Lepisosteus oculatus: one gene and its partners. The protein of the gene in region 4 purifies or fractionates together with the protein of the main gene of each other region. This does not show direct contact. Links are inferred from orthologs where the notes say so. Each region holds a gene or a part of one and is shown on either strand. Other genes may lie near its edges. The genes, in order: cops7a, asb6, ankyrin repeat and SOCS box protein 13 and cullin-5.

What was found.
Region 1: the proteins of cullin-5 (region 4) and cops7a purify together in Homo sapiens (affinity purification with mass spectrometry; 3 studies listed by BioGRID and IntAct, with this or other methods). This does not show direct contact. The link is inferred for Lepisosteus oculatus from reciprocal best matches to the Homo sapiens genes CUL5 and COPS7A.
Region 2: the proteins of cullin-5 (region 4) and asb6 purify together in Homo sapiens (affinity purification with mass spectrometry; 6 studies listed by BioGRID and IntAct, counting the BioPlex papers as one, with this or other methods). This does not show direct contact. The link is inferred for Lepisosteus oculatus from reciprocal best matches to the Homo sapiens genes CUL5 and ASB6.
Region 3: the proteins of cullin-5 (region 4) and ankyrin repeat and SOCS box protein 13 purify together in Homo sapiens (affinity purification with mass spectrometry; 4 studies listed by BioGRID and IntAct, counting the BioPlex papers as one, with this or other methods). This does not show direct contact. The link is inferred for Lepisosteus oculatus from reciprocal best matches to the Homo sapiens genes CUL5 and ASB13.

What each region holds. Positions count from the first base shown.
Region 1 is NC_090718.1:2,551,282-2,559,096, forward strand, and holds the start of cops7a (COP9 signalosome complex subunit 7a), read right to left. Parts: upstream 3,192-7,815; 5' UTR 3,082-3,191; intron 1,887-3,081; 5' UTR 1,851-1,886; coding exon 1,710-1,850; intron 1,331-1,709; coding exon 1,255-1,330; intron 1,117-1,254; coding exon 1,028-1,116; intron 659-1,027; coding exon 456-658; intron 1-455. Other genes in the region: tpi1b (triosephosphate isomerase B), read right to left, coding at 5,494-5,612, 6,123-6,210, 7,024-7,109.
Region 2 is NC_090719.1:2,800,416-2,808,175, forward strand, and holds the start of asb6 (ankyrin repeat and SOCS box protein 6), read right to left. Parts: upstream 3,187-7,760; 5' UTR 3,090-3,186; intron 1-3,089. Other genes in the region: ndor1 (NADPH-dependent diflavin oxidoreductase 1), read right to left, coding at 3,961-4,105, 4,793-4,887, 5,798-5,916, 6,026-6,542, 7,160-7,267, 7,365-7,582. UniProt on the Homo sapiens protein: Probable substrate-recognition component of a SCF-like ECS (Elongin-Cullin-SOCS-box protein) E3 ubiquitin-protein ligase complex which mediates the ubiquitination and subsequent proteasomal degradation of target proteins.
Region 3 is NC_090702.1:43,653,007-43,661,383, reverse strand, and holds the start of ankyrin repeat and SOCS box protein 13, read right to left. Parts: upstream 3,010-8,377; 5' UTR 2,902-3,009; coding exon 2,862-2,901; intron 732-2,861; coding exon 544-731; intron 119-543; coding exon 1-118. UniProt on the Homo sapiens protein: May be a substrate-recognition component of a SCF-like ECS (Elongin-Cullin-SOCS-box protein) E3 ubiquitin-protein ligase complex which mediates the ubiquitination and subsequent proteasomal degradation of target proteins.
Region 4 is NC_090700.1:10,146,105-10,153,513, forward strand, and holds the start of cullin-5, read right to left. Parts: upstream 3,364-7,409; 5' UTR 3,094-3,363; coding exon 3,070-3,093; intron 1-3,069. Other genes in the region: ras-related protein Rab-39A, read right to left, coding at 7,402-7,409. UniProt on the Homo sapiens protein: Core component of multiple cullin-5-RING E3 ubiquitin-protein ligase complexes (ECS complexes, also named CRL5 complexes), which mediate the ubiquitination and subsequent proteasomal degradation of target proteins.

The DNA of each region.
Region 1 (7,815 bases), on a different chromosome or scaffold from region 4:
GCAAATTAAGTGCTTTATGCTGTAGGTTGTGGGTTGAGAAGACATACGTTGGTGAAAATGATGAGAGGAATCGTGTCTTTTGGTCATTTTAAAAAATAATCTTTGAACAACACAGGGAGCAGGTCCTGCAGGAAATCAGTTCTGTCAATCGGACGCCAACCCACCGCTGCTGCTGAAAATGAACTGTGACTTAAAAGTGACAGAACCGCACAACACTGACTTCTAAAGGGAAAAGTAAAGCAAATTAAAGGAACGTCAGGTTTTCCCCAATTCTCAAAAACTAGATAACGTTCCAGTGGAAAGGCAAATTCAATGTTGATTTTTTTCTGAAGCAAACAGATTTTTAGGATCTCGGGTCTACTGAATCAGCTACCCCCCCCCTCCACCATCTTCCTCTTGCACGATTCCTTCGGGGCTCCCTGCCAGCGCCCCACGTCATCCATGGTGCTGCTTACCATTCCTGCAGGGTGTTGGCAATGTTGGGCAGCTCGTGGCGGCCCAGGTCCCTCCCCACGCTGCAGTCCACCTCCACCTGCTGGTTGCGCTGGTCCAGCTTGCCCTGGATGATGTCGCTGTACACGGCCTCGATGAGCAGGTCCTCCAGCTCCCTCACATTCTTCAGCTCCAGCTGCTGCAGGAGGAGGGAGTAGGGGAGGCACTGGAAGAGGGAAGGAGCAGAGGAACATGGTCAATACAGCACAGACTGCGAGTTCACCACCAGTACTACACTCACAGTGCACGGACCGAGAGTTCACCATCAGCACTACATTCACTGTGCACAGACCGAGAGTTCACCATCAGCACTACATTCACTGTGCACAGACCGAGAGTTCACCATCAGCACTACATTCACTATGCAGGGAGAGGGAGGTTAATACACCATAATTGGCTAAATGCCATAGTAAAGTACTACTGCAGCAAGAGAGAACACAGTCAATGCAGTACAATCACTGCTTACTTACTGATCAGACACGACAGGGCAAGAGCACTGCATTTCACAGTGCTCTGGGTTTCACAGTGCAGTTACCTTGAGATTGGAGGCTAGGCTGATGATGGAGAGGTGCCGGAGTTTGTTCTTCTGGGCAGGAGTTAGCTCAGGAAGCGAGGCTGCGTTCTCTGATAAAGGAGGAGAGGGTGTTTAACACAGACTGGCGCAAACACCCCGCCCCAACACACCCACCAAGTGTACTGCCGACTCTGAGCTGTCAGTGTAACGAGGCGCTAAGATACAGGGACACAGGCGGCGGGGCTGACCTTTATAGTCGCAGTACGTCCCGTAGGCGAAGAGGTTGAGCAGCTGGTAGACTGGGGCATGAGGTCCCGACTCCAGCTGAGAAGACGAGACAGCTTAAATACACACACCTAGACTGAGGGTCAGTGAGTGAACGTCCTAGGCGGGCAGCTTGGCAGTCATTTGATCAAATTCATCGAGCTCTACTGGCATGACTGATGTCTTACATTGCTGTCCAAGTGTGCACCATCCACATAACATCTACAAGCCATTTACTATCCAAACACATCAGAGGATGTTTACATACAACACATACAATGCCAGTCAGTCAGACAGACAGCCAGTCGTACAGTCAAACAGCCAGACAGCCAGTCAGTCGTACAGTAAGACAGCCAGACAGCCAGTCAGTCAACAGCCAGACAGTCAGTCCCTCTCCATCTGTCTGCCTGGCTGTACAGGTCTAGGGCTCTGTCAGTACCTCTCTGACATTGGGCAGCTCCAGGATGTCGGAGAAGACGTAGAGCCCGGGCGTCTCCAGGAGGGAGGAGAGCGCCTCCGCCAGCGCGGCGCCCGAGAGGGTCAGGAGCTGATCCACCGACACCTGTCGCACCTCCGACATCTGACCGGGAGCAGGAGAGCAGTAAAGACTCGGTGACTGACAGCACGAACACGGAGCCGAGGGATAGAGGATGAAAGATGAGGGGGAAAAAGGTGGGTTACAATAATAACTCCTTACACTTCTATAGCTCTGTTCTGGACACTCCACTCAAAGCTCTTTACAGGTCATGGGGATCCCCTCCACCACCCCCAGTGTGCAGCCCCACCTGGATGATGCTCCAGTCCTCTCCCCACACACCAGCTCTCAGTGGGGAGGAGAGCAGAGTGATGAAGCCAGTTCAGAGATGGGGATTACTAGGAGGCCATGATGGGTAAAAGCCAGGGGGAAATTTGGCCAGGACACCGGGGTTACACCCCTACTCTTTTTGAGAAACACCCTGGGATTTTCAATGATCACAGAGAGTCAGGACCTCGGTTTTGTGTCTCATCTGAAGGACGGCGCCTTTTTACACTATATTTTACGCTATACTGGGGCATTAGAACCCACACCGACTGCAAGGTGAGCGCCCTCTACTGGTCCCACTAACACCTCTTCCAGCAGCAGCCTTAGCTTTCCCAGGAGTCTCCCATCCAGGCTCACACCTGCTGAGCTCCAGTGAGCTGCCAGCGGTGAGTTGCTGGTTAATGTATCTGCAGGCTGTGAGAAACGAGAAAGGCTACCACCAATGGGCTGATGTACTGGAATGTAGGATGATGCACTGGAGCTACAGTGCACACCCTATAAAGCTTTTCACCTATGTATGCACTGTAGAAACAGCGAGCTCAAGGGAGGTTACTTAAACACACTGACTAGACACAAAAAAACACTCGAGCGAGAGAGATAGGAAATTAATACAATCATAAAGAGGATGCACAGTGCGTTCACAGTGTAATGAGAAGGACCATCGTTGTTCTGGACCGAAATACATCCCATAAAATGCACACACACATATATAGCCATTTGATTTTAAAACGTTCAATAATAAACCGATTAAAAAGCGGAGCCAAATACTGCCATCTCATCATCAGTTACTTTTCGTAAGCAGTGCTACCCAACTAAACCGTCTTCGTTTCGCTTTCTTGCAAACCGGCGCAAGAATCAACCTGAGCCCGAGGCTTCCGGGACCTCGTTAGGCCTCAACTGCTTTTCTAACGCACGCACACCCAGAAAAGGTGGCAATGTGTTTCTGAGAGGAGATACGAGAGTGCGCTTTGCTAATTCTTTCATTATGGCTGCTGTTTCACTCAATTACCTTGAAATCGCGTCACTTTTCAACCCGGAATCCAGATCTCGGCAGCCGCACGCACGCAGTAGCCTTTTCTGTAACAACAACTCGCCGGCGCCTTCCATTGGAGGAGGCGAGAGGGAGGCGGGCCATTGTGTCTGGTTCGAGAATGGGATTGGTTTTGATCCTTTGGGGGGGCGGAGAGACAGCCCATCCCTCTCTCCTGATTGGACAACAGCCCGTTTCTGTTTCGGCGAGAGAGTCGCCGGGAGGCGTATCTGACATTCACCCCAAAATGCTTCCTCACATCCTAAAGTTCCGCGACGTCCTCTGTCTCTGCTTCCAGAACGCTTTTTAAAAAAATATTTTGATAAAATGCAGACTCGTAACAAGCTTATGATGAATTTATTAGTACTCTAAAAACGATGCCTCCGGCTGTTCTTTCAGTGACACCAGACGTGACGATGCATTCACACGTGGAGTGATGCTGTCTGACCAGGGCTCCACTGACACCCCAGGAAAAAAAGTGGTAAGATTTGCCCAGGTCTCCAGCCGCCGCCTCGGTTTTGGACTGTAACTGGAAGGTTGCGGGTTGAAATCCCACTCTGTACGCGGGCTGCTCTAGTGTAAATGTGTAGAATGAATGGAAATGAAGGGGGTGTCTCTCTCTCTCTCTGTACCACCATAGTGGATCACCGGGCTCTATGACATTCATAAAATAGTGACTTAGCCGTTCAAATTTCAGTGCACACACGTCCCAGACACTGATGCTCTTTTTTAAGAAGAGCGCAGCTAGAGACGGGGACGAGAACGCGAAAAACAAACCGAGTTTAAGGCTTTAGTAGAATAGTTATTGCAGGCAGATTATGGTGCTACTTTTTCATAATTTCTAGAACTGACAAAAAAAACGTAGTAGCCCCCGTGAACCGCTTAGGTGCTCATACCACTCAGTTAATTTAATTTACGGTCTGTTCATTCAGCTAGCACCACGGAGAAACGTGCCGGTTAGACTAAATGTCGATTCCTTCTCCCCTACTGCACCCTTCTGGTAATACGGGGGACATGGGCATCTCCCAAGCCTAACAGCAGGAGTCTGGGCTCCAGTCTGGCTTTCGGTGATTAAATTGCACCCGTATTGTAAAATAAATAAATCTATGCCACATGATCGCTGTGGTCACTGCCGATCCGGGTTCGAATCCTTGGCTCTCCACAGCGTAGACAATGTTGTATAAAAGCCCCAAAACAACAAATGAGAAGAGAAACTACTTTGGCAGCAGGCTTATCGCCCTACAGCTCCTAGCTGGCAGCCCTACTGGAGCTCAGCAGGTGTGAGCCTGGCCAGTACCTGGAGGGGAGACTCCTGGGAGAGCCGAGGCTGCTGCTGGAAGAGGTGTTAATGGGGCCACTAGGGGGCGCTCACCCTGTGGTCTGTGGGGGTCCTGATGCCCCAGTAGAGTGACAGGGACACTATACTGTAAAAAGGTACCATCCTTTGGATGAGATCCTGACTCTCTGGGGGTCAGGAAAGATCCTAGGCGTTTCTTGAAAAGAGTAGGGGTGTAACCCCAGTGTCCTGGCCAAATTTCCCCCTGGCCTTTACCAGTCATGGCCTCCTTATAATCCCCCCCCTCTGAACTGGCTCTCCTCCCCACTGAGAGCTGGTGTGTGGGGAGAGGACTGGAGCATCATCCAGGTGGGGCTGCACACTATGTAGGGGGGGAGGGGATCCCCATGACCTGTGAAGAGCTTTGAGAGGAGTCTCCAGAAACATGTTGTGTAAGAAAGTATTATAATTGTAACCTATGTGACATTGTGGTGCCTTGTAGAAAATAATGAGTTCCAGGCTCCTGTTGCAACCATCCTGACTAGAGCTGGATTTGTGCAGTATGGAGATTTGTGCAGCTCAGCAGCAAGTGGTAGCAGATTGGACCCTTCAGAATATACACTACCCCCCCAAGAGAACAGGAATCAACACCGGGTTCCGATCAAACCGTTTGTTTAATAATCCCTTTTCCAGCCAACGGCTCCCCCAGGCCGTGAGCCAGGCTGGCTGCGAGGAACACAGAACGCAAGAGCTTGAAGTTCAGGGTGACAGTGCTTGGCAGACAAGGAACATTACAACACTTGGATTACAGATGGGTACCAATTCCTGACTAAATTACGGGCTTTCAAGACTTTATGCACATCACACTGCACCAGCACTACACACATCATCCAAGACGATCACAAAAGCATACACTTGTGGTTGTCAAGAACCCACGTCGAGTATACTGTCCCCAAGTGCTTGATGACGTATGCAGTGTCTGTGCAGCATGCCCATCTATGCAGTGCTATAGGGCTGAACACATGGAGGAAGTGACATCACAGGGGTGGGGCTTGTAAGTGCAAAAGGGGGGCGGGGTCCACCATCCCCGGCTGTGACCTCATCACTGCCTCCCCTCACTGGCGCGCGTTGATGATCTCGACGAACTCGGGCTTCAGGGAGGCGCCGCCGACCAGGAAGCCGTCGACGTCGGCCTGCGAGGCCAGCTCCTTGCAGGTCCCCCCGGTAACGGAGCCTGGCGCGAAAGGGAGTCCATTGAGAGGAGGAAACAGCACTTTGGGAAACACCGAACGAACACAACCTAGAGCACCAAGAACTTTAGAAAGCCTGCTAGAAATCTCACACAATCCAGTGGAAACATGCAAACTCCACACAGACAGCACCCCAGGAACTGAACCCAGGGCCCCAGCACTGCGAGACGGCAATTATCACTGTGCAAACCCTTACATACATTAACCTGGAGCTAACCGACATATCCTTAGTAGAAGATGGAGATATTTACATCTACAGTCCTTTACAGATGACTTAATCAAATCCACCCCCCATGATAAAGCTAAGCCCACAAATCCCTCGTTTTAGAGCCAATTCCGCTGTAAATCCATTTTGCAGGGCTGCATTTACACCATTAAACCACACACGACCGGTTGCTGGAAAACCAACGGGGGAGGGGAAAATCGAACAAGCTTGGGGTGAAGGACTAATGTACGTCCACACTGGAGGAGACGTGCAGGACGAGGAGTCTCACCTCCGTAAATGATCCGGCAGGAGCTGGCTACCGCCTCCGAGACGTTGGTCTTCAGCCACTGCCTGAGCTTATCGTGAACTTCCTGGGCCTATGCCGGGGGGGAGGGGGGAGAACGAATGGAAGAATAGTTAGAAAACAAGAAGGGTCAAATGCCTCCCCCAGTCTGCTTTCCCAGAAGCCGGGGTGGGGACTTCAGTAACATGGGCAGGGTTGCTCGTTGCCTACCCCCACCACCCTTTGTGTAAAGGGCCTCCTAAGTAGAGGGCTTAAGGAAGTTGCTAGCTCAGCCGGGAGCAGGGAGAAGCTGTTAAAACTGGTCTGAATACGTCAATGGCCTCATTCAGGTTGATAAAAGCCCAGCCGGACAGAAAACCTGGAAACAGGCTGGCTCTCCGACACTGGGAGGCCCTGCATTAACCAGACAATGGGGTAGATCAGGCATCTTCAACTGCTCCCAAGGATGCGAGCTGGAGACCAGCCTGTGCACGCGGTGTTGAGTTCAGTCTACGCTAGCCCCTTTGAATACAGAACTTCCTCTGCTAGGAAGAGCCCAAAACATCACTGCACACGGGCCTGAGGGTTCATCCCAAAACCACAGAAAACCCAGCCAAGCAGTTGCCTTGCAGGATTCGTGTTGCTCTGCAACCCCTGAAGAGGGGAACCCCCCCCCGAACTGCAGCTGCGCTTGGGTGACACAGCGGCCATTCTGCACAGCAGATCAAGAGCAGGAGAGAGAATTGCCTCATGCTGAATTGAGGAGGAGCCCTCGTGAGGCCAAGTATAGGATTTAACAGCTCTGGTCTTACAGCTATAAAAGCCGCTGTCCATTCGATAGAAATACATGAGCCTTACAACGTTAAACGCTTACGGAGGGTCGAGCAGTCGACATCAGCAATGTTACCTGTTGGGGGGTTGCGGTTTTCCCAGTTCCAATGGCCCAGACAGGCTCATAGGCCAGGACCACCTTACTCCAGTCCTTCACGTTGTCTGCAAAGACACACAGCTTAGTAGAAGCCCTCGGGCAAGGACTACAGTTCCCATCAGCCACTGGGGGGGTGTAGTTCCACATCCCCCATGCACTAGCGTCAAGCCGACATCAACCGATTTTGTGAGATCGCCCCGAGTTTATTAGAGGATGCAGATGATTCTAGTAAGGATAAAAACACCCAACAGGTTTACTTCCATCGCTAATCCTCCATCATCATAAATCAGGTGGAGTTTATTTTTCACGGCATTTCAAAAAATGCTTTGCCTTTCAGGACATGCAAGTTCACCACATTTATATATTTATGTACTCCTTTGCCCCTTTTACATGGTTTATAAAGCACTTTCTTACTTCCGATGTGGTCTTTAACGTTTACACTAAGTCACTAAAGCTAGAATTTGCCCAAATCTCGAGTCTTGGGCATTAGTTGGGTGGTCATGCTTCGGGAAGAGCAAAATTATCCCTAAAACAATCCAGATCCAACAAACTCAGCACCAGCCTCAATCCCCACAGTCTTTCCAAAAACTGTAAGCCATAATGTGACTGTGCAGATCCATTATTCAGGCTAGATCCCAGACGTCCGAAATTCTTATTGATCTGATCTTCCCAAGTCGGCACTTTACAAGCTAGGCTGAGAAGCAATTGATCACAAGATTCCCCAGTTTATAGGTGGAAAGTCAAAGTCTTCCAGTCAGGCAGCCATCACCT
Region 2 (7,760 bases), on a different chromosome or scaffold from region 4:
CAGAAACAACTCGCAGAAATTGAGGAGTTATTAAATCAGAACTGCTTCTGGGAGAAGTGGAACACTTTAAACAAATGGAAATCAGAAGAACCGGCCATCCAAAATGGAAAATGTTGGCAAACACGCTGTTCAACATCGAGATCAGTAAGTTAGCAGGAATGTTGGAGAAGTCTGCAGCACCTGGTCTCACACTACATCACACAGAGATCAAGTTCCTGCTCTATGTAGATGACCTGGTCCTGGTGTCGCCCGAAGAACAGGGGCTACAGCAGAGCCTGGCACTGCTGGAGGACTGTCAGACCTGCGCGCTGCCAGTCCATCTGGACCCAGAACAGCAGAGCCTGGCACTGCTGGAGCAGGACTGTCAGATCTGCACACTGCCAGCCCATCTGTACCCAGTTCAGCAGAGCCTGGCACTGCTGGAGAAGGACTGTCAGACCTGGGCACTGCCAGCCCATCTGGACCCAGACCAGTAGAGCCTGGCACTGCTGGAGCAGCACTGTCAGACCATCTGGAACCAGACCAGCAGAGCCTGGCACTGCTGGAGCAGGACTGTCAGACCTGGGTGCTGCCAGCCCATCTGGATCCAAAACAACAGAGCCTGGCACTGCTGGAGCAGGACTGTCAGACCTGGGCACTGCCAACCCATCTGGACCCAGACCAGCAGAGCCTGGCACTGCTGGAGCAGGACTGTCAGACGTGGGTGCTGCCAGCCCATCTGGACCCAGAACAGCAGAGCCTGGCACTGCTGGAGCAGGACTGTCAGACCTGGGCACTGCCAGCCCATCTGGACCCAGAACAGCAGAGCCTGGCACTGCTGGAGCAGGACTGTCAGACCTGGGCGCTGCCAGCCCATCTGAACCCAGTTCAGCAGAGCCTGGCACTGCTGGAGCAGGACTGTCAGACCTGGGCACTGCCAGCCCATCTGGACCCAGAACAGCAGAGCCTGGCACTGCTGGAGCAGGACTGTCAGACCTGGGCACTGCCAGCCCATCTGGACCTAGAACAGCAGAGCCTGGCACTGCTGGAGCAGGACTGTCAGACCTGGGCGCTGCCGGTCAATCTGGACAAGAGCAGAGTCATGGTTTTCCAGAAGAAAGCCAGATCTCAGGGAAACAGGTGCCAGTTCACACTGAACAGCATGCACACAGTGAAGCACACATCCAGCTACACATACTGTACCGGCCTGACTATCAGCTCATCTGGGAATTTTGATCCGTCAGTGAAAGCACTGAAGGAGAAGGCACTCGGGGCTTTCTACGCAATAAAAAGGAAGCTTTTGAACATCAACCAACAAGAATCTGGTTCCAAATATTTGGTAGTGTAATCCATCCCATTGCCCTGTACAGCAGTGAAGTGTGTGGCCCAATCTCAGACCAGGATTACACTCAATGGCAAAAACACTCCATAGAAACTCTGCACATGCGACCCAAACTCCTACCACAACAAGACTCTGCTGAGCCCAAAACAGAGCCCCCAGAGCCAGCTGGTCCTGAGGCTCACTGACCTGAGCCACACCGACAGCAGCCAACCTCAGGACAGCACTGCTAGAGCACCACAGCTCAGACTCAAGCACATCACAGCACAGATCAAACAGCAATATCTAACACACTGGGTCACACACACACAAACACAACATAAACTGGAATTCTACAGAACCCTAAACGGACAATACACACTAGCCGAATATTTGACCAAGATAAGAAACAGCAAAAAGAAACAGACCCTGACGAAGTACAGGCTCAGTGACCACAGCCTGGCCATAGAAACTGGACACAGGCAGACCTGGCTGTCCAGAGAGGACAGGCTCAGTGACCACAGCCTGGCCATAGAAACTGGATACAGGCTGACCTGGCTGTCCAGAGAGGACAGGCTCAGTGACCACAGCCTGGCCATAGAAACTGGACACAGGCTGACCTGGCTGTCCAGAGAGGACAGGCTGTGCTCCCACTGCCAGCGGGGAGAAATAGAGACAGAGGTGCACTTCCTACTGCACTGCGAGACAAATATTCTGGGATTAGACATTCTTCCCCAAATGTACAAATCTAACGCCAGAATTTCCACACCTACCAGAATCACAACAACTCCCAATCCTGCTGGGAGAAGGGGGAGGGAACTCAGTTGAACTGGCAGCCCAGTATGTGATCGCCTGTCCCAGCCTGGGGAACAGTGAGCCTGTTTCTCAATAATAATAATACAGTGTGTGATCTCCTGTCCCAGCCTGAGGTACAGACAGTGAGCCTGTCTCTCAATAATAATAATACAGTGTGTGACCTCCTGTCCAAGCCTGAGGAACAGACAGTGAGCCTGTCTCTCAATAATAATAATACAGTGTGTGACCTCCTGTCCAAGCCTGAGGAACAGACAGTGAGCCTGTCTCTCAATAATAATAATACAGTGTGTGATCTCCTGTCCCAGCCTGAGGAACAGACAGTGAGCCTGTCTCTCAATAATAATAATACAGTGTGTGACCTCCTGTCCCAGCCTGGGGAACAGTGAGCCTGTCTCTCAATAATAATAAAAATAATAATAATAATAATAATAATAATAATAATAATAATACAGTGTAACTCCGGATTGCGTGAATGAAGCCATACCTTCCGGACAATGTGCTAAAACAGTAACAGGCCCGGGTCTACCTGTGCGTAATGGTCTCTTTTTAAAAACACTGAAATTAACTACTGTTGATAACCCCACGCCGTCATTCCTCACGAATCTCTCGGACCCGCACGGACAACAGCGGAGAACGAGCACCGGCCGCAAACACGCCGAATTCAAACCGCCGCCTGTCTTCGCTTTTATAAACCAGACACACACACAAACAGTCTAATTAAACGCATCATTGCAGCCGAGCGTTAACTCTTAAATATGGCAACTGAAACCTGTTTTAGAGGTGAAGGGGTTTCAAAAATACACAGGCGAGGATTACCAGAGGGGACCGCAGGTACTGAAGCGAGCCCGCTAGCTGCACATTCATATTTTATTAACTTATTATTCCAGCAAGTATTCACCAGCTTGGGTATTCAACAGTTATACTCATATTATGGATATTTACTACGAATTTATTTACAAAACGTGCACAAACTCACCAACACAGGACCCGAAAACGCCACTAGCGGACTGGCGGAGGCATGCGAACACTGCAGCTGTCCGTGTTTGCCGACGGACCAATCAGAGGACGTCTCAGTTAATTGAATCTAAAACTCGGCTGCCTATTGGATAGAGTCCCGGAAGTATTTTTGTGCCGCTATCAAGTTTGTCCGCCCTGCAGACTCGCCTATTATAAAATTACGTGTGATTTGAAACGTAGATATACCTGTCTCGGAAGAGGCGTGTGCGCGATTTCTGCGCTATTATCTTACAAAATTCTCTCTTTAGATGTTTAACTCGATTGCAGGTGTCACGATTACCTGCTACAAAATGAGCCTGTTGCAAAACGGCTTTCGTTAACCAATAAACACCAGCGATTGCTCGCACGGTATGCATCAAACAACGTGAACCAGATGCCAGTGAATTGCACAGTTAAACAGTTTATTTAAATTCAGTGTACAGACATCAATCCAGAACACCAGTAAAGCACATTGAGACAACATATGATTGGTCTGTGCTCCCCAGAGCCTTAAAAGCAATTCATAAGTAGACAAATAAAAAAAATCATTTAATAAAAGTTACATTAATATGATCACACGTATGCTGTATGTGCACTGTAATCGCACTCAGTTACAGGGATCCTTGCAGTCGTGCGTTTAGACCTCACACGTGTTTCCTTCGCGGCCGGCGGCTGTTCTGTGGCACAGCAGGCGACGGCTGCTGGAATAGGGGGTGCTTCTTCAATGCAGCCCCCAGTCTCTGAGCAGGGGAACCCCTTCAGACGGAAGCACCTCCAGCACTGCGCCACCCGGCGGGCCGCCCTGCTGCTGCTCACCGCCCACGACGCGTGACCCTCCGCCCGGCACCGGGTCACGACCAGGTCTCGGTCTGAAAGCGGCCCGACCTCTCCAGCTGACACAGCAGCGCCTCGGCGTCCGGGTCCGAGAGACCCCCCTCCGCCTGGAACACGGCTTTCAGGGCATCGGCTACAGCCGCCGGCATCTGTTTGGCATTGCTGAGGCCGGAGGAGACCGGGGACACACAGAGGAGAGACCGCCAGAGCTGGCGATGAGCGATTTAGGAGCTGTACAGGACGGCGCTAGATCTCTGCTGAGGTATTAAAGGCATGCCATCGTTGCACTGAGCTCTTTAATAATAATAAGAAGAAGAAATTTATAATTTATATAGGGCACCTTTCCAAACCCCAAGGATGCTATATGTAAGGATCAGCATTTTTAAAAATACAATAAAAAAATAAAACCAGACCTTGCAGGACACACTGTAAGACAAGCAGACAAAGCCCCCCCGCAAAAAAGCGGAGTTTTAGGTTCAGATTTAAGAAAACAGTCCAAGAACCTGCCTCTCGAAGAGACGCAGGGAGGGCGCCCCAACACCGGGGGTATTTACTGCTGGGCACGGCGTGCAAACAACACAGCGTATGGAAGGGAGGGTGAGAGAGAGCTGGGAAACACCAGATTATTCAGAGCCTTGCAGGTCAGTGTTCTGAGTGGCATTTTATTTCTGTTCATGTTCTTTTTTGTGTGTTTGTAACGCACCCCAAATCAGATCTTAGGGAATGTAATATATTTTCCTGATGTCATTTGAAATGGCTGTAAATTGTATTCTGAACAATGCGGTCAAGCATAGTGAAAGTATACATGGCCGTCTCAGAATATTTCAGGATTGTTCGTGGCGGACTCACCCGGCGATGTAGACGTGGGCGGCCCGGTTGGCGATGAGGTCCCAGAGGAGCCCGGCCTGCTGGCGCACGAGATGCTGCACGTACACCTTCTCCTCCTGCAGGCACAGCCAGAGGTGAGCCCTGCTGCCCCGCCCCTCACTGCACTGAGGGCAGGCCCCTCCAGAGCGGCGTCACACCAGACTACACTGCAAGGCCATGCTCTCTACGGCACTAGGCTGCGTTATAGTGAACCTGACACTAACGCACTTTGCTGTTCTCTGCTTTTCAGCCTGTAATACACTGCACTGTTACCTTGTTTTATTGCACTGTAATATACCGCACTATACTCAAGTACTGCTTACAGTATTGTTCTGCATTGTCCTCTGCACTCTGCCATTCTAGGACTTCATCATGAAAACATAAGAACAGTTACTAACTAGAGAAAGAGCTTCAGTATATCCTGCTCATTGGTTGTCAGTAGCTTACTGGACGGCACCACTCAGTACTGTACAGACTGATCATGAGAGGCAGGTACAGTCTACCGCAAGACTGAAGCAACAAAGCACTCTGGAGAGTGTGAGTGTGGGGGGAAGGAGGAAGACATTGGTAACACTGATCTAGTAGCCTGGTGTGGTCAGGTCAGCACTGGAATTTGAGATCACTGAGAAGCAGGTGGTGTTGGTGGACCAGCAGGTGGTGCTCTTCTCTCTGGGCCAGAATTTCTAAACCGGCGCCCCAGTATGGTCACTGCGGACACAGCGCTGTAGGAGGTGGTGCCACCCCTCTGGGTAAGAAGTTACACCAGGTCCTGGACAATCAGTCACTGGAGAGTCAGAATAGTAGTGGTGTACACCAATGTCCTAACTCAATTCTACTCGGGGCTTAAACAACCTGCCTACTCTAAAATCCCCTCTGAACTCAACCACTGGAGACGTTTCTCTCTTCTCCCCCTGACCTGCTGCACAGGTGGGGCTGCTCTGGTAGACGATCTGCTCTGTATGGGAAAGAGCCGTGTAAACGGCCTACCTGGTCCCGAGAGAAAGCCGTGAAGAGCGTCAGACGCCCGGCCTTCTGCATCTCCTCCCACTCGGAGCGGCAGTAGAAATCCCGGGACTCCGAGCGACAGCCAAAAAACAGAACGTTCCCTGAGGGGGGGGAAGAAAAATGAGGAGATACAGTGGGAATTCCGGAACGAATCCAGAACGGAAAGCTACAGGGAGAAGGGAGGAGAGCCGCAGGGGAGGCAGGACCGACCTGTCCTGTCCAGGGCCGTCCTCTCCTGCAGGGCGGCTCGGAAGGGGGCCACCCCGGTGCCGGGCCCTACCATTATCACAGGGGTGTCGGCGTCACTGGGGAACCTCAGGCCTCCTTTCTTCACCCACAGGGGGACGCGCACCTCCCCTGCAAGATGGGACATTCCGCAGTCAGATAAGAGCGACACGAGGCCACAGGAAGGGAATGCTGGGAAATCCCAGAATCCCACAGACAGACAATCTGCGGCTGGACTGCGTTCTCCGTCAGAAATGCAACACCAGCCCGGGTTTTCTTCTAAAACTGTCAGGATTCTAGCACATCCCCAGTCCACGACACGCTGCTCGGCGGTCACGCGACAGATCTGCACCGCGTCGCGTCGCAAGGCTTCACGCTTCACTTTACTCTGTGTGGGGTCCAGGTAGGCCAGCCAGGACGAACAGAGGCCCCTGCGTGGCTTGTGGAGCTTGGTCCTGTACTGCACCACCGCCACCAGCACCTGGATCCGGTCAGGGTGAGCCTGCGGGAGAACAGGAGAGCCAGGAGTGCCGGGAAGATCTGCCCCGCCTCCCGTGTGCCCTGTCTTGACCTTGATCCCTTGAGAGGTTTCAATAGCATCAACTCATCAACATCCACCAACCCTCTATCCTCTTTGGCCAGGTTTGATATGGCTCTGCATTCAACCGGCGCTTCACCGACCTCAATGTCGCGTCATTACTTAACTGACATTTCATTAAATTTGAGCCTGCGGCCGACCACCACTTGAGCAGCGGAGCAGTGGCTCTGTGGCTCAGGATCTGCCCTTGTTGCTGGGAGGTTGCCGGTTCAAATCCCGCAGCCGGCAGAGGAATCCTACTCTTTTGGGCCCCTGAGCAAGGTCCTTCACCCCAACTGCTCCAGGGGCGCTGTACGATGGCTGACCCTGCGCTCTGACCCCCAGCTTCTCTCCCTGTCTGTGTGTCTCATGGAGAGCAAGCTGGGGTCTGCGAAAAGACAAATTCCTAATGCAAAAACTTCTGTAGGGCTGATAAAGTGATCTCTCTCTCATCTCAAATGAGCACAGAAATGACTTTATAAAAAGCAGGGAGGTATTTTTTGGAACTGCAGGCGAATGGGATGGGCGGCGCAGAGCCTTACCAGCAGGGAGGAGGCGATGGAGAAGGAGCGGGGCTTGATTTCGGGGAAAAGGTCCAGCAGGTAGTCCACGGTGAGAACTGCTGTGGTGTGGGGGAAATCGGCCAAGACCTGCAGGGGGGGGGGGGGGACGAGAGAACAGCGCCCTCTTGAGGACCGGAGGACCGCGGCGGGCAGGGGCTCAGCCGGGTGCGGCGCCCTCGCTCACCTCGATGGCGGTGCGCCGGGGCCGGTGGCAGTAGGCGTGCAGCTCCTCTTGGCCCTGCGCCGTGCCGAACTCCACCAGCTTCTCCCTCTCCAGCTGGTCGGTGGCGAAGCCCGCCAGCAGCTCGAAAAAGGAGCGCCGCGGCACGCTGGCGATGTCCAGGAAGTTCTCCAGGAGGTCCCGGAGCGTGCAGGGCTGGGGCAGGCGAGTGGGCACAGTGGCTGAGGGCACAGGGCACAACTTTAAACACAAAACTGTCCCGAACTGTTGACTGCTCCTCTTCGTGTGCACCCTGAAGCCCGTAGCGCCTATTCGCCTGTGGAAGACCAAGTAAGGAGGGTGAAGACTGTGACTATGCCCGGAAAAGGTTTCCAGCTCGTACCCAAGACAGCTGTCTTT
Region 3 (8,377 bases), on a different chromosome or scaffold from region 4:
TAAACAGAGCAGGATTTACTTTGGCTCCATGTTCTAAAAGTAACTTCACGCACTCTATACTTCCAGCGGCACAGGCGTCACACAAAGGAGTACTGCCATCGATGTTTCTTGCATCAACCTAAAAACACAAACATCACACCGCAATCAATCCAATTCTCCTGAAATCGCTGCATGCGGAATTGATATTTCAATATCAGTTGGCATCCTTCAACACTTTTAGACTATGTTTGCTGATCCGTTGCTTGTTTGTTTCACAGTGTCACTACAAAAAGTACTTCGGAAACGGAACTGGCAAAAATTTTGCATATGGTGATGTGAAGACCACTAACAACTGTTCAAAACATTTTTTCATAACAAACGTAAATAAAATAATATTTAACAAAGCTGATACAATACATGTTCTCACTGCATCCAGATATATACCTTTATTTACCATCTAAATAATGCTGTAGACCTCCTTATGCCAGATTTGACAAGAGGTAAAATGCAGTGAACCTTTAATTATTCTACGTGTGGCAATATAATATCAAGATTAAGTCTCACCTGTGCACCTGCTGCCAGCAGTAACCGGACACAGTGAGTCTGGCCTTGCAGGCAGGCTTCATGAAGTGGCGTGATGGAGTCGACGGTGACTACGTTCACACAGGCTCCGCTCTCGATTAGCTGCTTCAGCTGCAGGACCTGCCCATGGCTGGCTGCCTCGTGCACTGCGGTTCGATCAGCCCAGAACCCTATGGGCAAAGGCAAAAGCAATAAGGCAAGCAAATAAGCTAGCAATTCTTGAAAAGAATAGAGAAGATGCTCAGATTAATTAGTTACTAACACCCAGATGAGCAAGATGGGCTGAAAACTGTACCTCTTACTTCTACTGATCTCAAATATACAGAATGTGACAGGCTCTCCCAAAACCAGGCTACTCAAGGTCAATTTTCAGGCTTAAGTGTTGGAATGTAGAATTCAGGAAATTTGTTCTTGATAAAAACCTCATTTATTATATTGTGTCTGTAAAATTTTAAAAAATGTACAATAATGTTGACTGCAAAGGAACAAGTAATAGGTTTATTCCATGCTGAAAAAAAGAAGAAAGAGAACACAACGTTTCGGCCGTGGAGCCTTCTTCAGGTGTCAATAATGTTGACTGTTGCTCTCAATTTAACCTTTTGCACGTAAAATAAAAAAAGAACTGAGTACTGAAAACTCCAGCTTAACACAGCAGCTTACAGACATTTGAGTAAACAAATAAAAGTGCATTCTTAAATTAAAGTTAGCTAATATTGGACATTTCAGCCCAATATAATTTAACAAATTAAAAATACAAATTCAAATTTTGTCATTATTCTACAGGTCTTTCTCTAGTGTGGTTACACTATTATGGCAATATTTCAGCCTTACATATCTAACACCACACTTATTCAAGGCCCCTCAGGACAATTCCGGATCACTCAGATGACATCTTGTACCTCCAGCAACCTTGTTTACTGTATCTCTTGCAGTAAATGCCCAGGCATCTACATTGGAGAAACAGGAAGGAGACTCCAAGATCGCTTCAGAGAACATGTTAGGGCTGTGAAGATTAGAGATTTCTCCGAGGCTATTGTTTCTCATTTCACCTCTGACAGCCATGATCACACTAATCTCTCCATCTGTGTTCTCAAAGATGGTTTTCCTAACTCCCACATCAGAAAGACTACTGAAACTAAAATTATCCTGCAGTTAGGATCACACCTTTTCCCCTCTCCCAACAACAGACTAATTTTCTTCTAAATTCTCTCTATTCATTGTTGTTTTCATTTCACACCTCTCCTCACCTATCCTGACTGGCCACTCTGTCTTTCCCCTGATCCTGCCTGCGGCCCCTCCTCTCTCCCAGCTTTTGTTCTCCTGCTACATTATCTTTGCTTACTGCCCTGTCTTTCTCACACCCGAAGAAGGCTCCATGGCCGAAACTTTGTGTTTTCTTTCCTCTCTTTTCAGCATGGAATGAACCTATTACTTGTTCCTTTACAGCCTACACATGCTGATGCAGCTACCCACCTGAACTGTTATGGCAATAGCAGCTTCTGATCAATGATCACCTGTGCTTTAGTAAATTGTTGCCAGTGGTATCCTACTGAAGAAGCCGGATATAATTTTGTCACTACTAGCAGTTCTTTTGGAGGCAAGATTAGTGGTACTACGATCTTGCTCTGACGTTGTTCCTAACTGACTTAAACAACATTTACAAACCAGAATCATAACCTTGCAAACTGAGGCACCATTACATGTTACTCTTAGGAACATTATCAGCACCTAGTGATGTGCCTGAGATTGCCACAGGCATTACAAGTTGTTATCATGAAGTAGCACACTGACATGGTTCACAACCTGTAACTAGATATTAAGATCTTGTGCAACCGGTTTTACAGCTTGTCCTTGTAAACAAGCCATTGCACTCTGCATAACGTCACACGGACTGCCTTTTCTCAAGCGTATATCGTGATGCAATTAAGCTAAACTGCCTTATTTTTATTACACCTTTGACTGTGTCACTTTTGATACAATAACACCGTTTCGAGATAGAACATTAACTGTCTTCACACATACTGTAATACTACTGTAACATACACGTCTGTATGAATTCCTAATCCTTGCCTAAAGCAGTAAAAAAACACAGCTGGATAATATTTTACTTGAGTGTTGTAGTTGTTCTTAGCAGATAATAAGATTGAACTACTTCCTGACTATCACAAGCAACCCATGTTCCCAAAACAAGGTCTCCGAGTCTATACAGGCACGCATGTATTGGAATCAGGTAGCTGGTGTGTGTTTTTCAAATTGGACAGCAGAACAGCTGAACTCTAGTCCAGATCTGTGTAACTCACCAATGTCTCCTATGTTCACTCTTGCCGTGCTGGTTTCCATTAACGCGTTCTTTTACCGCTATGCACAAAACCAAACAATAAACTATTTTAGTATAATATACATACAAAGCTGTTTATACACTGATGGTAAAGAATCACGTGGTCCGACTATTTTGAATCGTCAAAGTCAAGGGTTACAGGATACAATGTGCACAAAGGCTTCATGGGAATAGTAGTTTGAACATTTTCAGGCGTCTACTGTTGCTAAATGAACCTTTTTAATTTGGCAAGACAAGACGTTTCCAAACTGAAATGTTTTGCACATGCAAAAAATATTTTTAATATTTGCCGATACTATCCTATTGACGATTTGAAAATAAAACACAATATAGATTTGCGAGCTGGCAAATATGCACAGCTGGCAATATGGGAAACAAAATATGAATGGGGAAAGGCAGGGGTCAGTGAATACTATGAAGTAGACCTTTAAGTAATCACTTTAAAGCTCTCCGTCGAGCGTAAAAATAAATTTGTGTCACATTAATTTTAAGGTTCTAGACGAGGGTATGTCTAACGTATTGCAAAGTGCTTGGTTGTTGTTTTCCATATACATTCAAATTTCACTACTCGTGTTTATAATGACATGAACAAACGGCCCCCGGATTGTTACTGGTAATGTTTTATACAGACTGTCGCCATAATATATATATACACCAATTATATAAACTGCTTATTCAAAATGTGCTTAACACGGTCATTTGCTTTTGCTATGGAATGCATGTTCATGTTAAATCTTGTAGAACATCACTTGTGACATTTCCTTACCTAAACAAACAACCCAGTAAGTCCTGAACGCTATTAAATGTTTATATAAAGACCTTGATGTATAAGAATGATGTGGGTGTTTTTACTTCAATCACACTGTCTCTCAAAAAAGAATAGGCAACAGAGAGATCAATCAGGCGGATCCCGCTGATCAGCATGTTAAAGCAGTAAAAGGCATTGATAAAACTCCACTTCATGCATTATTTAATCCTATTGTTATACGACTGATGGAAAACAATGACATACTGTAGAAATCTGCTCACCTCCCCACCCCCCTGGAGTGGACTGATCCAGTGACCCCTAACCTTTCCCCTCAAGGCTCACCCAATCGAGCCTCCCCTCTATTAAAGCAGGGGGCATCTTCTTTCTTTCTGTCTTCGTGCTTCGTGTTGCTGTCCTTCAGATGAAATGTAAAACCGAGGTCCTGACTCTCTGTGGTCATTAAAAATCCCAGAGTGTTTTTTTTAAAAGAGTAGGGGTGTCCTGGCCAAACTTTCCCATCGGTCTTTACTGATCATGGCCTCCTAATAATCCCCATGTATGAATTGGCTTCATACTGTTCCCTTCCCCCCTAACAGCTGATGTGTGGTGAGCAGACTGGTGCACTATGGCTGCCGTCGCATCATCCAGGTGGGAGCTGCACATTAGTGGTGTTGGGGAGTCTGTAAAGCCCTTTAGAGAGGATTGTCCAGAAAAGCGCTATATAAGTGTAAAGAATTATTACTAGGGGAAAGGATAAAGATATTTACACGAGGTAGGTCACGAGGGAGCTGGAGCCTATCCTGGAAAGCAGCAGGCACAAGGCAGGGTACACCCTGGCCAGGACACCAGTCCATCGGAGAGCAGACACACCAACCCATACTCAATCACACCTAGGGCCAGATTTCCCAGAAGCCTATTAAAGGAATATGGAATTGTTTGCAAGATGCAAGGAGTGGTCTTCAAGTTTGTCTAGAGTGGCAGGTACGAGCACGTCACAAGAAACTGGATGCATCAGGTGGTCGAGGAAGGGGGGAGAGACGTGCTGGATTTCCCCCTAAAACTCGACTGCATCTTTTTCTGCAACCTCTATCAGGTGTTGCGAGATTCGCTCAGCCACAGGTACCAGTACTTCATCAGGTTGTGGTTCTCCTTCCCTATGAGGCACCTGATCCAGTGACAAACACAGAACCAAAAGCGGAAAAGCGACTGGAGACCTACACCCACCCTGTCAAATGGATCCGGAGGCGAGAGACCATGAGACAACCAGAGCTCTGCACCAGCCACAGGGCCCTGTACAAAGAGGTGAGAGGCCAACTGGTTGCCAGAGAGTGGCTGCAGGTACTCAGACAAGTCTGGGAAAGGACGCAGCCAAAGGAACTCAACAAAAAGTTAAAAGACTTTAACTGGATGGACGTGTACCAGAGGCTGGCAATCAGAGAGGTCCGCTACAGACACTCGCTCACCAGGAACCCACATTCCCCTGGGACACATTTTTCGAGGAGATGCCGGAGAAAGTGTCCTGGAGCTGTTTCTTCACCAAAGCAGCATGGGTCAGAATGGACAATACTCCTGGGAGCGGGAACGAAGCTAAGCTGCCAGTATAAACTGCTGGGGCTGGCCCGATTGGAATAGACAAAAGGGACACAATACCTGCTATGGCTGCTAGTGTTCCTAATAAAACAAGGACTGTGGAACATGAGGAACACTTCTCCAGCACAGAGTGGGAAGCGAGGGAGCTGGAGGAGAGGATGCTTGCAAACCTCAGAGGGAGAATGAAGTGCAATGTTACCAAAGGAGTGCTGGAAGGGACTGTGGGCCCTGTATAGGGAGAAAGGAGGAAAAACCTGTTCATTTGAGCTCCTGCAGAGAACTGGGCAACTGCAGTTTCAGTTCCAGGACAGGGAAAAGAGACGGACAACAGCAAGTGGTAGGTCTCGGAGGGACTCTTTTTGTGCAAATCAAGCCCCAGCAACCACGTGCACAGATTGAAAAAGGAGAAACACCTTTAAGAACTTTACTATAACATACTAGAGAGTTTATGCTTTGCGAGAGTATGTACTCATTGCACGATTAATGTATCTTGTGCAATAAAGTTGATTTTGAAAAAAACCCAACATGGCATTGTTTGCAGGCACCAGGTCAACAATTGCTGCCTCCTGTTCAACATTGAAAACCTTGCCTTGACCACCAGGACAGGGTTTTCTGTCAGTTCTATAAATTAAAAAAATAGATTTCTACTGGACAAAAAATGACTCCATAAATTTCAGAAGAGAAAAAACTCCAAAAATGGATTTTATTTACTAATTTATTACTGTCCATCAAGTTTATACAGTATACGATCTCTTACCTATTCTCAAGTCCAATAATTGATGCTACAGCTGAACACGCCTCTGGCCTGGCCACTGGTTCACGCAGTGAACGACCAGGATCAACAGTGCCCATTAATATTTCTTTTTGGCACCTCAACTCTCTGCAGTCTTCCTCCACCTCTTCACCCCTAGGGTTGTGGTACCCCTCTTCCTCCTCTTTTGACCATCCATCTCCAACTGAACAGTGACCCTCTTCATGTGCAATTATGAACTGAGTGATATTTTAACAATTAGCTTAAGATTACTTGCATGTGTGTAATACATATGGGAGTAATCCCACGTGGGAGTAATTATTATCAACTGGGAAAAAATGAGTTTTGTTTGACCGTATATTTCTACTTGATTTTTATGTCATTCGTAGAGCATCATTTTTATTGTTTACCACAAGAGGTGACTGACATTTGGATTTTCTGGGAAAGCAATGATAGATTACTTAGTTTTACAAAAAGAAATGTTTCTGTTTTGCTCATTTTAGTTTTGATGATGTGAGTCACAGTTGCAAATTGTTTTAGCAATCTAGGAAAACTACAACAAAAACATTAAAAAAGGACATTTATAGAAATGAAGTCATCATAGATACTAAAAGATATTTGAAAAGCCAGAAATTGCAACAGAGGATAAAATAATTGATAACATCTCTTCTCAGTGTTACAACAGCAAAAGAATAATAAAACGTAGTAATAAAGGACATGGTAACAGTAAAGGATGGATTAAAGTGACTCAGAGATGATAATGGGAAATCTATACTGCTTTTAATGAAAGTGAAAAGGTTAATGTATTAATTGAATTAGTCACTCAATTATTTACCACGGAAGTGATACCTCTCAAGGTCCTGCCATAACCATTCAACATAACTATTAGGTCCAGACCTTGACTTGCACTCCCTAAAATGCTAAACACAATCTCCTTCAGCCATTCTATTGTAGATCTGCTTGTGTGTTTAAGATCGTCTTGCTGTATGACACTTTGCATTCACCTTCAGCTGACGAATGGCAGAGATTCTCCTCCAGAAATTGCTGATACAATGCCAAATTCATGGTTCCGTCAATGATGACAAGCTGCCCAGGTCCTGAGGTAGCAAAGTAAACCATGATACTCCTACCGCAATGCTAGACGTTGGGAAGGTTCTTCTGCTGGAAGACAAGGTAATGGTTTTCGCCACACAAAAAAGTTTACCGTGACCAGAAAACTTTTGACTCATCTGTTGAGAGAAAATTCTTCCACTTGTCTTGTAGATCGTCCAAGTGCTCTTTGGCAAACTTCAGAAGGGTGACAATGTCCTTTGTAGAGAGCAGTAAGTTCTTACTGTCTATCTTTGCCCCAAAAACATTCCAATTCAGTCTTTTCCTGATAACTCAGACATGTACACTGGCACTATCCACAATCAGAGAGGTGTGTAGATCCTTCGATGTTATTCCAGGGTTCTTTGTGACCTTCTAGACGATATTCTGGGTTTAATTACGGAGATCTTGGAAGAACAACTGGTCCTGGGTAGTGTCACCATGATCTTGAATAATTTCCATTCATTGACTCTTTGACTATGGATGTGTAGAGCCTCAAATAGAAATGGTTTTGCAACCCTGTCCAGCGTGACAAGCATCAACTACCGATTTTACATAGTCTTCTGAAATCTTTTTAAGCATGGCATTACACGTTTTCTTAAAACCTGTATGGGGACTGTTACAAGTCTCAGACAGAAACACAAGTAACAGGTAGTAATACTGTTAAATCAGGAGAAATGAAGACAAGGGATACAGTTGAAATTGGTCTTCATCATTTACTTTTGAGATACATTTGCATTCCAGGTCACATACAGGTGATTTTTGTCCAGATGCATAGTAACCACCTCCTGCAAAGGAGCTCATATAATCACTTTCCACCTGCTCTTTTCCTGGTGGCCTCTGCCAACACTTTGCTAAGCATTAGTGAAGAAGCATTATATGGCCATATAAAGTCTTTCTGAAGTGTGAGCTAGCGCTCCACTCAAATCCAGAAAAACTGTATCCAGTCTATGGTGGTTGTCCTGCCGGGTGGAAATTAGATTTCAGCTGTCCATGTCCCTCCAAGAATGAAGCAGTTACTGAAAATGGATGAATGGAATGCAAGGAAAAGCACGATGTATTCAAATGACATTTTATGTCATTAGTGTTGAATTAGTAGCGTTACTGTTAAATTAGGAGATATAAAAAGGGGGCAGCGCAGTGGCTTTGTGGCTAAGGATCTGCGCCTGTGTCTGGAAGGTTGCCAGTTCATATCCTGCGAGAATCCTACTCCGTTGGACCCCTGAGCAAGGCCCTTAACCCCAACTGCTCCAGGGGTGCTGCATGAATGTCTGACCCTGTGCTCTGACCCCACGCTTCT
Region 4 (7,409 bases):
TGCTTATTCAGTTCGATACCACTTTTTTGAAGGAAAGGACCTGGGAAAATACCATCTCGCTTCATTTAAAAAGAATCAAAAGCCACATGCTGCAGTCTATGGGTACTGAACATCTTTTGTAAATTATTTTCAAATTCACCAAATGACCATATTCAAATATTTGTACACTCCACTGTTTGAGGATGTTTTGGCTGCACAATGCTCTCCAGTCTCCTGCCTCTCTTCTCACATGTAAAGCAAAACAGGCTCTCGTAAAATCTCTCTTTTCCGACTGACTGTCTCTCTGGAGCAAAGCTGTGCATCCGATAAGACACTGCAAACATTCTTCTAGAGTGTTGCTTTTGAGGTTATAATTTTAATGTTCATGGTTATTTTAAGATCAATACCTAAAGGGATCACTGCCTTGTCTCTTTTGAAGTCTGGAATTTACAGCCTCTACTCGGTTGAAGTAATTACCATCAGTAGTCAACTTCAAATAATCCCTTCTGCTCGCTTGGTATTAAAGTTGGGTGTTTATGTAACTTACTACTCACAGGCCTGCAGATAAAAACAAAATTATCACGTGCACTGAACAGCACAGTGATTAGGGTATCAGCACATACTATGGATTGATTTAAGAAGGGTGATTTAGTTGTAGATCTGACAACTGGTCTGAATAATGGTGTTCATCTTCCCCTTTAGGGATATGTACAGTACTTATGGTACAGGCCTTTGAGGAATAAATGATGATTTGCAGCACCACACTGAGAATTACCATGAATGCACCCCCACAACAATTCTATGCTGTATAATACATTGTTAAAAGTTTTTAAAAAGTTGCATTTCCATTTTAATCTCAGCTTAATTCTGTAATGCATTATGCTTAAACCTTATCCTCATTGTACTCAGCCAATTTCAGAAATGAGGCACTTAACACTGCATCTTCAAAATCAAGTCACACCGGAAAAGGAGGAAACTTTCAGTATTCAGAAATCTCAGTGTTCCCTGCACTCTCTCCACTGATATACACAACAGGTGACCTGGACAGAAATGATTTCAGGGAGAACTGGAACTAAAGGCATTTTTATAGCTGTATCTCTGGGATGAAATGGCAGCTTTCCAAATGGATACAATTTAGAAGAGCAAACTGAAACATGGGGAGTGAGGGTACAGCTGAATGTTAAGTACTTGGCACGGAGGGAGAATTTAACAGGCAACTGAAAAAATTATGATGAGAAGAGACACTTCAGGAATCAAAGATAAAAATAAGTGCTTACATCCTTTTTTTAAAACAAAAAGTGATTGACCCAATCAACCTTGACAAACCATTTAATCTTTTTACGGATGACTAGGGTAATGCATGCAATCACACCTCACAACTTTTCTGTTTAAAAAATAAAATAACTACATGGGTCACAGTGTGCTATTTTAAACATGTTTAAGATCTGTGTTTTCAATTATCTTGAAGCCTGGAGAACTTCTTCTAAAACCCAGATTTCTTCACTTGAGCTGCACATCGACAGGCAAGATGTAGTGCCAATTTGCTTGCATTACACTTTAAATCCATACCAAACCTTTCATCTATGATAAATGTATGATTTCATTATGCAACTGCTTTAACTAGGCCTGAATTGGAATGCATTAAAAAATGGCACTGGAAAATAAGGAATGCACATCACTGACCTGGAGCTGCAAGGAGAGAGATAGTTTGCAAAGATTCCTCTCTTTACTAATTCCTGTGGGGATCCATACTTAGCCATACACAATAGGCAACTTCCAGAATATAAGTAACAGAAAACAATTAAAGAGTTCAAACTAATCCCATTAGGTCAATTAAGGACTTAATTATGTAAGAAAGACCTCAACTGGAACACAAACCAGCGGGTGGGTGAGTCATCAAGACCAGGGTTTATTCAACTCTGTATTAGACATTATATGGCATGCCACTGCGGAACATGAACCTACATTATATATTAGATATTATTTTTTCCCCCAAAAAGCTGCAGTTCTGAACAAGTTTGGCAAAAACTCTGCATTCTCCTCTTAATGTTAGGAAGATAAGTCAAAATAAGGTAGAGCAAAGGATAAGATAACAGACAACAAACCTTGTCAATCGCAGCTGACAGTTATTTAAGTATGCGCTTTTAATCCAGATTGTGGCTGAAAATAATGCAGGAGAAACGGCAGAGATTTGGGCGAGCTCTCATGATGCTTGTCTAGTGCCCACACCTCGCCTAGTGCAGCTTTTAACACTGAACATTAATGCCTCAACGACTGTCACAGTGGGATTTACATTCAGACAATCTACTGGGTAATGTTATTTTTATTACATAATTTCCCGGCATACGATGTATTCTTCACAATTTCGTGGAAAGATGACATCACGCATCTCAGTCTTTAATATTAAACTAAGGAGCTCTGACATCTATAACATAGAATAAAAATATGTGGTCATACGAACTGTCTCAAATTAGACAAGACCCGATACACACTTCAACACTCACCGGTATCCTCATGATGTTTGAGAGCAGGGAATGATTTATTAGGATTTCTGTATTGCATGGCGTACATCGTGTAGCCCAGCTACAAGCTCACAGGCTATGTAAGCTGAAATCTCCTTTAATAAAATAGAACTTCCCCACTCGTATCCGATACATCCAGTGTCTCTTTAAAACACTCTCAAAGCTTCGACTGTTTTAATTTTAACTCGGAATTCCTGGTGAGACTGACAACACGTACAGAAATCCGGGCAACCACAGCTAGCTGGTTATTTTACAACAGTCAGGGTGTATATTATATCTAAAAATAAAAATAAACTTAGAAATAACAAATCTTTATTGTTTTAGTATAATTAAAAAGGCCCATATCCTGAAAGTAAGTTTGAACATCAGCCACCCAGTGCCAATAATATTTACCACCAAAGATAGCTTTGTCTCCCTTTTCTATTAATATGCACACACGTAGTATTCTAACCTTGCCCCCAAACGCTCCGTCTTTGTAAAGAGCCGCGTTTTAAAATGCAGACAGTCGATCACGAATTAGCGTTACTTACACAAAATACTATCATTATTAAAATGAAGTGCCACCTACCTTTAGCAAATTAGACGTCGCCATGTTCCCTCAACTTATCCCCTCGCGCAGCCTCGCGAGATTTCCGAAGGCTTTAGTTACCAAGGGGTCCTGAGAGATGGAGTAATGTTGAGATACAGTCGGCAAAGTTTTTAAAATATAAATAGTCCCTTTATAAATTACAGTTTATACTATTCCATATTAAGTTCGTTATCGGGCACTGATTATGTGGTGTAGTGGAACGCATTCAATTGTTATTTGCAATCCCTTTTTTAATCATTGGCCTTCAAAACACGAACGCAACTCACTGGAACCGTGTCATGTATTTGAGTGGATGCTAAACTTAGCTTCGCCGAACTAAGTCGATCCATACAAGGGTATATCACATGACCGGGAAACAGTACAGAATAGACAGTTCAAGAGAAAAAAAAACAGCGTAAGAAAGATTCCGAGTTGGAGCTGTGTCCATTAACTGCAATGACTATATTATCCAGAGCCTGGCTTGTGTATTGCAGGGGCAGAAATTATACAATTTCAAACAGACCCATAAAACCTATAAATGGTGTGAACAGAGAGGCATGCAGAAGTGCTACTGATCCAATAACAAGGTGGTCGAGGAACCTGTGACTTGTGTAGACGAATTGCAGCTACAAAAACATGTTTTGGTTGTTCCTCACACTTTTGTGCATTAGCTCGTACACGCAAATTTTGCTAAGATGAAGTCATCAGTGACAAGAACCGAAATGGGGAGACGTTTTTTTTCCCAAGTTTAACTTCACATGATTATGAAAATACCAGATTGCACAAATTGTTATTTGATGTTGTCCACTAGGTGGCACTGTTGTATTAAATGGTGTGCCGGTATCCAAGAAACAGGGTTATTGCTAAAAGAAGTCTTTAAAGTTTTTTTCAACAATGAATTTATCTTCCGTTTTTTTAACTTAGTTACTGTGTACACACTTTTTTTATGCCGTTACATTTTTTTTTACCTGCCGCAGCAGTCCTCAATTCTAGGAACTGTTCATTTTTTACCGCAGTGAGGGCCAAGTTTTTTTTTTTAGATCCTCCTCTTCCTTCAAATCCTGCTGTGAACAAAACAGTTTCCCAAAGTACACAAACTATTAAGGATCATGCGGAAGACAAAAACAAAAAGTGTTCCGAAGTTTTTCCTTACCGATAAACCTTTTCAGTCCAACAATACACTCTGTAGAGAAAATGGCTCTTAAAAGAAGCAAGCTTCTGCGGTAAGTTTGCTTTTCAATTATTTCATTTTCAGGTGAACAATTTTTACACTTTGCGCCTTTTATAGAAAATGTAAAACAATTCTAAGTAATTTATAAAACCTAAAGTTGAATTAAGTATTGATCTCATACCCACTTTTATTATTATACTTGACATACTTCCACACCTAATTAATATTTCAGTTATGCAGTAATGATTACTGGACTTTAAAATATAATGATTAATTAGCCTTTATTCTGTAGGTAAATGGTTTTGAGACATAGTTGTTAATCTTACTTTATAGACACCTTCAATATCTATTTTCAAATTCATGTTTAAGAGTCTCACGAGATTCTGTATCTCTGGTTAGCGCTGAATAATTTATATGTCTCTTCTCACTTGGTATTACATGGTACCCATACTAGGGGACACTACAGTATATGCTTTTTTAAAATAATATGTTGTAGGGCAAAAAAATAAATATTGCAGAAACCTGTTTTACACAACCACATCAAATTGCAAGCATATTGCACCTTGGTAAAGTATTATATTGTGTAAGCTATTGATCAGCATATCCCAGATATAAATCTACTTTAAATGTTCATAGGAATTAATAATCCATTTTTTAAACAAAACGTTAAGGTCAGATATTAATACCTAGAATTTGGAATAACGTGTTACATCATGTGTGATGTGGATTCAGTCTTGGTCTCTGAGTGTCCTAAATTATAAAGAACTAAAAAATCCATCGAAACCAATAAAATGCTGGCAGTTCATTTTTAATGTACATGATTATGCAAGCATTTTTTAAATCCATTTAGAAAACTCTAATCTCCAGGACATCCTTTACACATCACAAGCTGCATGATGCTATAGTGTTATCACTAAATATAGCTGTTTTACTAGAAATGTGAACAGACAGACAGAGAAATGTTACTTCAGCAGAACGAAATATAATGTGGACAACAATCATTGTAGTTCAAATAACTGAAAAAAAACAAATAGATTACAAAGTAACTACAGTATAGCAGTTTAACTTTTTAATTGGCTTCCATTCAAAGCATCTTCCATCTAATGAGGAAAAGTTTTACATGAAAGAGAAAAAGTGCACATTTAACAGTGGTCTGTGAAATACAGAGGCAGTAGTATTTCCTCTAGACATTACTGTTGGTTTAGAGTTTTTAATGATATTAAAGTTGTGTGTAATCTATTAAATACAGTCACATGATGATCTCAATCTAAGCACATTTGTATAAGCAATAATTTAAAGTTGATCTAATCAGTGAACAACACACAATCATGCATATCTTCTTTATGCAAGTTTTCAAGCAAGTAAAAACACCATCTGCTTAAGGCAACGTTCTTGGCAAGCCTTGGAAGACACAAAAAGGCAACATTCACAGAGTGTAGTCCCTACAACACTGAGGGATCATTGCACTCTCATTAGCCATTAAAGTCCCTTAAATTACATTCTCATTTTCATTCTTACTGTCCCAGAATCTGAAACATTGTTCTTTGTAGGCGAACATCGTCCTAAAACACAAAATACGTTTAGGCCTGTTTCTCATTAGTTCTAGTCTCTGGCTACCTAAAGTTAAGTTATACTAGGACTAGGGCTTCTGGAGTCTGTGAAACCGTACCTCAAAGCCAAAAATGCACTGCTTTAAATCTCGCACTTACAAGGGATAGAGACATTCTGAACGCAATTCCCTTTTTTCCACCTATTTGAATATAACATTGGCGCAACAATACATTTCCCTTTAAAATAACATATCCTCAGGTGTGGGATAGATACACTCTATAGCCTGTTGGTCGAAGGCTGCATTTAGGTGCCTTGAGTGTACAAATAATAGAGCAGGAGATGCACAACCTGGAGTTTTGGAGGACAAGAGGCTTTATGGTTTTCTTTCCACCTGTGCTCTTAAATTCAAACAATTGGACTCCTTGTTTTCCTTAAGTGGAAAAGTTGAAGCCTCTCCTTCGTCTTTGGAGTTTTTTTTTTAAGGAGAGTTTCTAAAACCTGCTGGACAGCAACTCCTGTGGATTGGAGTTGGGCTCCAATCTTGCTGATCTAAACCTGGCGATACTGTCAGCCATCTTGGGTTAGGAATCCCCAAGGGGCAGTGTGTAATCCACACTGGCTGGGAGGTTTCCTCATTGTGTAGTGCAGCAGCCACCCAAGTGGTGCTGTGAGCTGCAGGCAGTAAGGAAAAAGTGCTCTTGACAAGTAGTGCCACATCTGAAAGAGGCTGCTGAGATGGCGTTCTTATTTCTTTTTCAGCATGGAATTAACCTTTACTTGTTCCTACTGCCAATTTTTCTCACAAACCAAAAAGTATAGCTCTATCCTCTTAAAGTTATGCACATGAAACTGACAATTCCTATATAAAAATTGGTTTCACAAGGATCAATGTTTTTACACACAAATTTATCCGAGATTGCAGATTTTTTCACACATTTAATTTTCTACCTTTTTTTCGTGGTTTTAAAATGACTTCCTAATGGCTTTGAATTAAGGGGGAAGGGGGAACACTAACACAAATTGTTTAAATATTCTCTTGGTACTAGACAAGCGACTTTGTTCAAATACATTCTTAGCCCTTTAATTGACATCACAACAGATGCTTCTTGCTTTCAAAGACCTATTGCTGAAGGGAGGCACATTACTATAGACAGTCATTCACAGAAAGGCATTGTTAAATGTACATAAAAAAACAACCTTGGAGTTACAAATCAAAAATGCTCTGTTTTTACTATATTGGTCTTTCAGGCAGCTTCTTTCCCAAAACCTCAGGTTTATTTACAAAATATGCACGCACATAAATGGGAAAAACAAAACCAGCTAGCCTAAAAGAAGTGAATTTGTTCTGGAATTATAGTCAATAGATTCAGAACGTTTGGGAACCACAACGGTGAGCATTTCTTTACACTGTTTATGAAATGTTTTACAACCCAAGTCAAGTGATTAAATACAGGAACAGCATCTTGGGTCAGATCAAGAGGACTGCACCGGGATGGCGTAATCTAAAAGCTTGTTGACAGGACATCACACAGTCTTCTCTGGGCGCACTAAGCTACCCCACGCCGTCGCATTTGCGGTCTTTGGCTGAAGAACAATTCACGTCTGACTTGCTAGCATG